Linked DNA regions of Saccharomyces cerevisiae S288C. Changing the gene in region 1 together with any one later gene gives a genetic interaction. Each region holds a gene or a part of one and is shown in the gene's direction. Other genes may lie near its edges.

Evidence for each region. A genetic interaction does not mean that the proteins touch.
Region 2: mutations in YCT1 (region 1) and YGR237C together harm fitness less than expected from each alone (positive genetic interaction), as found in Saccharomyces cerevisiae (one large-scale study listed by BioGRID).

What each region holds. Positions count from the first base shown.
Region 1 is NC_001144.5:27,678-32,790, forward strand, and holds YCT1 (Yct1p), read left to right. Parts: upstream 1-2,431; coding exon 2,432-4,027; downstream 4,028-5,113. Other genes in the region: YLL056C (uncharacterized protein), read right to left, coding at 1-628; YLL054C (uncharacterized protein), read right to left, coding at 4,996-5,113. UniProt on the Saccharomyces cerevisiae protein: High affinity cysteine-specific transporter. Major contributor to cysteine transport when cysteine, at low concentrations, is provided as the sole sulfur source.
Region 2 is NC_001139.9:962,250-967,171, reverse strand, and holds YGR237C (uncharacterized protein), read left to right. Parts: upstream 1-1,516; coding exon 1,517-3,874; downstream 3,875-4,922. Other genes in the region: KEL2 (Kel2p), read left to right, coding at 1-1,133; SPG1 (Spg1p), read left to right, coding at 4,355-4,642.

The sequences.
Region 1 (5,113 bases):
AAACAAGTCTGAACAGAGGAGCCGTATCCAAACGATGTACAGCCGCCCAAGCGTTTGTGCCTTGTCCGACATAGCCAGATTTTCCGGCAGCTTTGGCAATATTCATTAATATTGGTACAAAAGCCTTGTCCCCCTTGCCATGAACCGAGAATGGGAGTCTGACAATTCTTGCTGAAACACCTTTGTCTTTGTAACTCAAGGCAACCTGTTCAGTGACAGCACGCAAAATTTTGGAATCTTCATCAATACCATCCTGTTCGTTAGCAACTTTGTTTGGTCGCAAAGAAAGTGTACCATTCGTATATAAGAAAGGCTTGTTAGAACCTTTAAGTGACTCTAGCATAGCTACAGTGGCCTGACGGTCAATTTCGCAGCACTGTTCAAAATTTTTAAAATCATGCACAAATCCTAAATGAATAACGCCATCAGATTCAGTGGCACCTTTTTTCAAAATTTCCAGATCCTTGAGATCACCGCGAAGGATTTTTGCAGCAGGATCAATCGACTTAATCTTTGCAGCAGCCTCGTCTGACCTTGCCAAGCCAACAACTTCATGACCCGAGGATATTAGTTCAGATAATACGGCAGAACCAATGAAGCCAGAAGCACCAGTTATAAATACTTTCATTTTTTGATCTCTTTTTTATTTTCTTTTGTAAAAGTTGAGTTATCACGCCTTAGCGCTTATGAATACAAGAGTGATTGTAAGCATAGTTGATAGAAGCGGGAGCCGTTATTTATACGTTAGTTGAGTACTTGAGGGTCTTCATCGCCTACTTTTTTTCCTTAATATCCTTGTGTTAGTAATCATATCTTCAGGAAAGCCAAGAACTAATGGCAAATTAAATCCGCGGCTTTCCCTTTAAACTTTTTCCAGCACAATCTATTATGTTGAGAAGTTCCGCTAATTTCCGCATTGGAAAAAGAATCTCATCTGCAAAAACGATGGTTTCTTTCTTCCACGGAAGACTTATGTCCGTCCTCTCTATTTTCATATTGTTCTTTCTCTCTCTTTTTGCATAACGTCACAATACCCTAGTGCTACCGTCATTGGCGCAGCATAAGAGTATTGCATTTCATGTCTTCAGATTTTGCCTCGCGAAAGAGAAAACACTAAGAGGTGAAAAACAATAAAATTATGTTCCAGTGTGTCATACGTGAGGTTTTATCACGGGGCCACCGTTCTCATTGGTTACTTGGTTGTAAATGCTTTGCGTTGTGATAAATATATGGCATGAAAAATCATATGACTTCAAAAATGAACAGATTCCAGATGCCAAGCCCGCTTTCCTTCGGCTAACTAGATGCGCGCTCGCCCTTGAAATCCTTAATCAGCACAACTCAATTGTATGGACGTGAGCTCTGACTTTTGCTTCCGACAATTAGGCCTTTCATATCTGTCCTTCTGAGATGTTATGTATCATGCATTTTGTATACACTATGCAACACCCTTCGCAATGGCGAAAGCGGAAAGTCATGGCACCATCAATCGTGCTCTGACCAGTATGTAAAAAATTTCTTAAGCCTCACCATGTTACAGATTGGCCAGAGCATCTGGATATTCACCACACCTGATTGGGAAGACTCATAGTTTTATGAAAGATTTCTTCAGAAAAAATGACATGCTGATTTTGTCTACTTGCGTGTGCTTTCAGTTCTTTACCAGTACGATTTGGTCACGTGACACGCGATCAACTACATTCAATCCATCTGCCCCTTGCTGGTTCCGAGTATCAATTCTAAATTGTGGCTACCACTATAGCAATAGTACGCCAAGCTCGGATGCAAATCACGGATATCTTCTTAGCATCCGAGTTCAACATCCGAGTTCAGCATCCGAGCTTTGCGGCGAAAACTTAACAAGATAACGGATAATCAAAGTTCTCTGTGATGTTACGGAGTCTTTGGTCTGCGCTGCTGACTAAAATAGTGTGACACAACGTACATAGCGCCACCCATATTGGCCGATAAGGACCAGACTTGTGGCGATGACTGTTAACTCTCCGCGAATCTTTTTCGAAGTCGCAGGTGGCATTGCAGAAACAAAAATGTGTGGCTTCTGAAAAAAAAAATAGGCACCCCATTTGATGTAAGACATCTGGCTACCCCTTGTACATTTCAGTCACTGAGCATCGAAGGCACGTCTTTGCAGCATGCAATAGTGTTCGAAGTTCTTCCATTTACGGTGGCTCCCCTCACTGGAACGGTGATGTAATATGTAGATAGCTAAAACATTTCGCAGGTCCCTAGGAACTGGACGTCAAGATGAATAGGTATTGTTAAAAATGCGTACCTGTTGAATTGAAGAGGTCGGAAAAATCAAAGTACTTAAACAGACGATTGATTCGACATTTAGCTATTCAGGTTGCACTTCTTGAAGGTTGAACAAAACATCAAGAGAAAATAAAAAAGAAAATATAACAAAAAAGAAATGTCAAAAGTTGACGTAAAAATTGGAGCAGACTCGATCTCCTCTTCTGATGAAATCCTAGTTCCTTCGAGACTCGCTGATGTTACGCTAGCATTCATGGAGGAGAATGACGCAGCAGTTCCAGAAATCACGCCTGAACAAGAAAAAAAATTAAAGAGAAAGCTTTTTCTCACAATATTCACCTTTGTCTCTGCCATTAACCTTTTACTTTACATGGACAAAGCCACTTTATCCTATGATTCGATTCTAGGCTTCTTTGAAGATACAGGTCTTACCCAAAATACTTACAATACTGTAAATACGCTGTTTTACGTTGGTTTTGCAATCGGCCAATTTCCTGGACAATACTTGGCTCAAAAGTTACCACTTGGGAAATTCTTGGGTGGGTTGTTGGCCACATGGACTATACTTATTTTCCTAAGTTGTACCGCATACAACTTTTCCGGTGTCGTTGCGTTGAGATTTTTCTTGGGGCTAACAGAGAGTGTTGTTATCCCGATATTAATTACCACTATGGGTATGTTCTTCGATGCTTCAGAAAGAGCTGCTGCTCAGCCATTTTTCTTTGCAGCATGTATGGGGTCTCCAATTCCAACTGGGTTTATTGCTTATGGTGTTCTTCATATAACAAATCCCAGCATTTCGTTATGGAAAATATTCACTATCATCATTGGTGGTTTGACTTTTATCATGACGGTTGTTGTAATTCTGTGGTTTCCTAATAATCCTGCTGATGTGAAATTCTTTTCAATACAAGAAAGGGTATGGATTATCAGGAGAGTTCAGGCATCCACAGGCTCTTCCATTGAACAAAAAGTCTTCAAAAAGAGTCAATTCAGAGAGGCAATGAAAGATTATATAACCTGGTTATTTGGATTGTTTTTTCTTCTTCAACAGTTAGCCAACAATCTGCCCTATCAACAGAACCTGCTATTTGAAGGAATGGGTGGAGTTGATGCTCTAGGTTCGACATTGGTATCAGTTGCCGGTGCTGGTTTCGCCGTCGTTTGTGCCTTCATCGCTACGTTGATGTTAGCAAAATGGAAAAATATTTCAGCTTTAACAGCCATCTTTTGGACTTTACCAGCATTGGTGGGATCCATCGCTGCAGCTGCTTTACCATGGGACAATAAGATTGGTATCTTAGCAAATATCTGTATGGCAGGACAAATATTTGGTATTCCTTTTATTATAGCTCTTAGCTGGGCAAGTTCAAGTGCATCTGGGTACACCAAAAAACTCACAAGAAGTTCGGTGTCCTTATTTGCGATGGGAATTGCTAATATCATATCACCACAAATATGGAGAGAGAAGGACTCTCCTCGCTTTTTACCTGCCTGGATTGTTCAAATCGTTTTATCATTCTCTCTTGCACCAGCCATTTTGTTACTGATCCATTTCATACTAAAAAGAAGGAATAATCAAAGACTAAAAAATTATGACGAAAATTTACAAAATTATTTGGACAGAATTCAACTCATTGAAAGCGAAAATCCTTCTTCCATTGAAGAAGGGAAAGTGGTAACCCACGAGAACAATTTGGCAGTCTTTGATTTGACTGATTTAGAAAACGAAACTTTTATATATCCTTTGTAAATATTGATGTTTTGTTGTGTAAATGTTCTATCTGACACTTAATAATTAGAAAATTAATTTTTTAAACTTTCCGGCTGCAAGAAAGAGGAACTGTGTCTCTTTGAAAGGCACAATTTCCCAAAGAATCATTTACAATGGTAAATAGCTTACTGCTTAGAAAATAATAGATAATTGAATAAATTTATAGAGGAATTTCTTGACAATTTCTTCAAAACAGCCGGTAAAAGTCCATTAAAGATTAGTTTTTCTTAAATAAATCACCTAAACTTTCAAATTTAGCATAAAAAACATGTAGATATTTGTTCTCTGTACTTTATAATCTAACATTTTATAAGACAGAGACTAGTAACCCCTCTAGCCTGTGGTTAAAATACGCAAAACCTTTGAACCCTCAATATTTTTGCCATAATAATGACAACTATATTGTACCCATTTGTTCTTGAGTTGTCCGTATGGATGGAAAGCAGCACTCGAGTTTGCTGAAATTACATACCTCGGTATGCAATATGCCCAGAAAATTTGTAAATGATAATTTACATAACAATTCAAAACATATTGATGTTTTTCGTGGGTAACCATAGTTCTTGGAATGTCAACTGAGGGTATTTGCACTTCAAAAAAAAAAATTTATTAAATGAGACTATATACAGTGAGCACAACCTGTCTAATACAACGGCAAAAATTATATACATTGGTAGATTTTCAAAATTGAACTCTTTGTGCTAAAGAATTGTCACAACAGTTTAAAAAATAGTTTGAATTCTTCAAATTGACCCCATATTAATAAGACCTGATGCGATTCCGGTCTCACCCAGATTAGAGAGGGAATTTAATTTTCTTAGGACCGTAGCTACCAAAAATCTTTGTGTGGTATTGATTATATGATCGTGCTTGCGAAAAAAATAGAAGACTAAAAGTAGCATTAGTTTACTAACTTTCTCCTCGTATCTTTCAAATTTGTATTCCCCTCAAAAGTTACTCAGGTTAGGGAAAATTCCAAGTAGCTTATCAAGATCAATTGCCATTAGTTGATTCAAGGCTTCATTGTCATAATTCATGAGGTCAATTTCACTCTGTAAAGATTCG
Region 2 (4,922 bases), on another chromosome or scaffold:
ATAAGGAAAGTCCGGGAACTGGTATCAAAGTATCTAAAAAAAATTTCCCTGTTCTACGAGGACTAACAGTGGATTCAGAAGAGTATGGCTCTTCTTCATATAAGGACACATCATGTCAAAAAGGAATTCCCAAAAATCTTTTTGATGATTTAAACCTGAACCTACAAACATTACGTCTCGAAGCTCAACAAAAGGAACTTGAAACTGCTAGACATATTTCACAATTAGAAAAGGAAGTCCAGAGACTCATGGTAATAAAAGAAGCTTCAAAAGATTCAAATTTTCAAACAGCACGGCTTAAAAATCTAGAAATTCAGAAAACCTTTTTAGAATCTAGAATTAATGATTTAAAAAATTTATTGATGGTCAAATTATCTCAGGCAAGTAAACTCTGTGACCAAATTACGATTCAAAATAATGGACTTAAAACATGCTCCGAACATGTCACTATTAAAAGGGATATCATCGATCTTGAGAATAAATGTGATGTTTTGAAGCGCCAGAACGAAATACTTGTAAATAATATGCAAAAAATAACCCCCGAACTTCATACCTATTTGAACGAATCGTCCTGCTATCTGGGTAAATTATTAAAAAGCTATCCTACCAGTGCACGGCCACCTTCAAGTGAGAAAGATAATCAAATATATGAGAAAGATTCGCTGAACAAAATAGAAAAAGTAATAAATGAAATGCACGAAACCGTGCGTGCTAAAGAGAAATTGCACCTTGAAACTCAGAAGCTTAATGATGAAAGAGATTCTTTGCGGGCTAATTTACTCGACAATAACAACAAGTTGGATGCGCTAAGAAAACTCTCTGATGGAAGCTCGAAGTCTATGGACCTAACAAAGAAGGCTATTCACCTATCACAATCCGAGCTCGAAAAATATCGTAAAAACAACGACGATTTACAGAAGGAGATTGATAGAATTAAAACTGAACAAGCTGAACAGGATGACAAGCAGGAACAGCGTGGCGCCATCACTCATGGAAATTTTGATGCGTTCCACAGAATGAAAATCAACAATCTGAAAGCGGAACTGTATATGTCGAAAGAAAATAGAGATTCCCTCAAGGACGAACTGCTAGCTTTAAAAAAAAAACTATATACTCTCGAACAAAAAAAATAGTCATTGGAAGACGTTGTTACGCACTGGGAAGTCAATATGTACAAAGTATATAAAAATATATTTAAACACCTATAAGGACATTGTAAACATTAAGTATTAATAGAAGGAGAATATAATTGCCAACTAAGCCTTTTGAGGTTAATATTCAATGGTGCAAAATTAGTAGCCGCGGTTATTATTATTCGCCGGGTAAAGAGCCCGCTTTTCTAGGGGGATTTTAGGTGAGCATGCCTCTAGAAAGCCAGAAGGACCCTTAACGAAGCGAAACTGTTCAGAAGAATGAATAAAAAGACACATTGAAAAAAAGAATATTGTCGCACTGTACATAAGGGAGAAGCTGTAATCCCTGGCAAACTGCTAATATCTAATAAAAATAATAGAAGATGTCATCTGCAAAGACATTTACTAAGCATATCTCGTTTGATGATCTGGCACCTTCCTTAATTGATGACCAAGCTACCATTATTAAAAATGACAGTCACCATGTTGGCTTGAATAATCATTTTTTACATATACCTCCACAATTTAATCCTGTTTACAAAAATACTTTGACCGGTAGCCATGGCTCTAATGACCTTGCCACTGACGAAAGCTTGGACTCACCCGAAGACGAAGAAGCTTCTTCGCCACTACAACTAGGAACTCCAACGTCTACAACATCTGGAGTTCCTCACTTCTATACTCAGGTATTTTCTCCTGCAGCACATGATCCCTCCAAAAGCTATTTGAGATCGCCCAGCGTTGAAAGAAGTAGAAGTGAGTCTCCAATGTTCAGGTCAAGAAGAAGGACTTCAGTGAGGTTGCCTCCCCCTCCAAAAGTATCCGTGCTAAAAAAATCTCGAAAAGCTGCTGATGAACAGGGCCCTATTGATGATATTGATATTGGTGATTTGGATTTTGAGCTGGAAAGAAAAATGACCAAAATGACCGAAAGAAACACTCAAAAAAATTCTGGATCAAGGAAAGGCTATACGCAAGCTGCATTTGCCAATCTTAATGAAGTTGAAGATAGAATTGAGACCAAGTCAATGGTAGATTTATCCGAAAGCGAAAATATGGAGAGCTCAAAGAAAAGGTCCAAGTCGTTTGCCGGGATGACAGACGAAGAATTAGCCAAATTAGAGGAATTTTATATAAGTAAAGGAAGATCGAACAAGACTAAAATAGATCAATTTGATTTTGGTGAGCAAGTTCCAGTCTATTTGAACACAACAGAGTCAAAAACGGATTCAAGCAACGTGACGGACCCTTTAGCAGCAATTTATCCATCAAGGCCTACAATTGTTCACAATGCAATTTCAATGACAATTGATCATCCAGACTATGAAAATTATATTTCCAATACAAAAGAAAAGCTCAATTGCAAAGACAAAGATGACGATGTAGATTTAAGAGTTGTTTCGTGTTATATATCAGGTAGGAGATATACTTGGTCATCTGTGGACTGGTATGTTGAAAATTTGACAAGAAATGGTGATCATTTAGTCATAATTACTACAATTCCTGAGTTTGAAGCAAAGATTGATACTCTAGCATATAAGGAGAAAAGAAGGCACCGCTTAGAAAGGATGACTAGCAATACTAGTGAAAGCATGACTACCGCGTCACATAGCCTTATAGGCCCGGATCTCTCTAGTCCTTTATCAACGGGAATAAGAATAGAAGCTATTCATAATGAGGCTAAGCAAACTTGTAGCGATATTTTAAATTACTACGCGAGAAGATTGGCAACTAAAATAGTTAGGATTAGTATTGAGATGGTAAAAGAAAATTCAACAAGATCAGCCATAATATCTGCGACCTCTCTGTATAGGCCAAGTTTGCAAGTAATCAGCACCGTTAGTGCCAACATTCAAATCAAGTTTAGAAATGGAAAAGTGAAACTACCATTTTTTTTAATGAAACACTTTGCAATGCCAGCATTTGTTGTCCCATTCGAATTCATCAAGCCTGAGCTTTTAATAAAACCTAGAGTGGATAAAGATGAACAGGACAACAGCGATGATTTGAAAACGGAAGTGAGAAAAAAGGAACGATTGCAATGGCTAAGTGCATTAATCAGGAGAACTTTGGAAAACCCTTTCACAAAACATAAAGTGGTTGATTCGGATGATGAAGAAAGCGATAGTGATGAGTCAGTAACCTCTGTAAATGAGTACTTCCCAATCTCACCTGAAAAAAAGGAAGAAATGGAATTCTTCGATAAGATGGGATATGTTAGACCAAAACCGTCGAGACAAGTACTATTGGATGATAACACTCTTATGAAGTACGACAGTTCTGGCCGAAAGCTAACTCCTATAGAATCGAGAAATTCGAGGCGCAGCTCAAAGCGGAGTTCAAGAATACAATTCAACAATAACGGCATTTATAAAGTAAAGTCCATGGTTGATGACATTTACAACCACGAAACTGCCTCTACGCCTCATATCAAGACAGCACTAAAATGGGACAATGAGGATCCGAAAATGAAGTTCACTTCACATCCAATGAGAAAAACAAAATCCGCAGGGCTATCACCCAGAACATCCTCCACTTCATCTTCTTCAGGACAGAGAAAAGCGCATCACCACCACCATCACCACAACCACGTTTCAAGGACGAAAACTACCGAAAGCACCAAATCAGGCAACAGCAAAAAGGACAGTTCCTCATCCTCAACAAACGACCATCAATTTAAAAGGTCTGAAAAGAAGAAAAAAAGTAAATTTGGCTCGATCTTCAAAAAAGTTTTCGGATGAACCGGATTAATACAAGTAAAATCAGCAAAGATATAGAAGACAAAATAAGCGTGAAAACAATCATAAACCACTCACAACGGGGGTTTTCAGCTGTTACTCCTCCATACATACATTTTGATAAAGATATAATGTTATATTTCTTTTCGTAATTTTGTTTTACTTCGGTTTGCTCTATAGATTTCATCAGCCGCACCGAAAAGGGAGATCAATAAGGTACCCTTTAAAAGGGATAAGAAGCCTACATCACCCCAATAAATGGAGTAATGGCCAGCATTGGATGAAGAGAAGAATTACGGGATACTGGGATAACACTGTTAAAAATGCTTCGCGACGTGAGGGTCTTCTTCATATAAATTGAACTGCCAAATCTCTTTCACATTATCCAGGATAGTTTGGAATGTGTGTTACTGAAGGATCAGAATCAATAAATACAATCAATACAAATATTTAGCGCATAAAATTCAAACAAAGTTTACTGAAATGAAGTTAGATTCAGGAATATACTCAGAGGCACAAAGAGTTGTGAGAACTCCAAAGTTTAGATATATTATGTTAGGGCTGGTGGGCGCTGCTGTGGTACCGACCGCATACATGAGGAGAGGCTATACGGTTCCTGCACATAGCTTAGACAACATCAACGGCGTAGACACAACTAAGGCGTCTGTTATGGGTACAGAACAGAGAGCAGCTATGACGAAGGGTAAGAGTTTACAAGAGATGATGGATGATGATGAAGTAACGTATTTGATGTTCTCTTCAATCATGTAAGGGAATTTGTACTTGGTTCCCTGCATTTATGTTCTTTGCATTTTGTTTTCGCATTTAATCATAGTACGACAAACGGGGAAGGGGATTGTGATTTTACATAAGGCCCCTCCCATCATTGAGAAGGTTATTAATCAATACATATATAAGCATTTTCTTTTATACATTAATTGAACTGATATTTATTTTATGACGCAATAAAGCCTCTAATGCACTGCTATTATTGTTACTGTTAGTAAATATTCAACTAGCATAAATGATTGATGAGGGGATTCATTGCAAA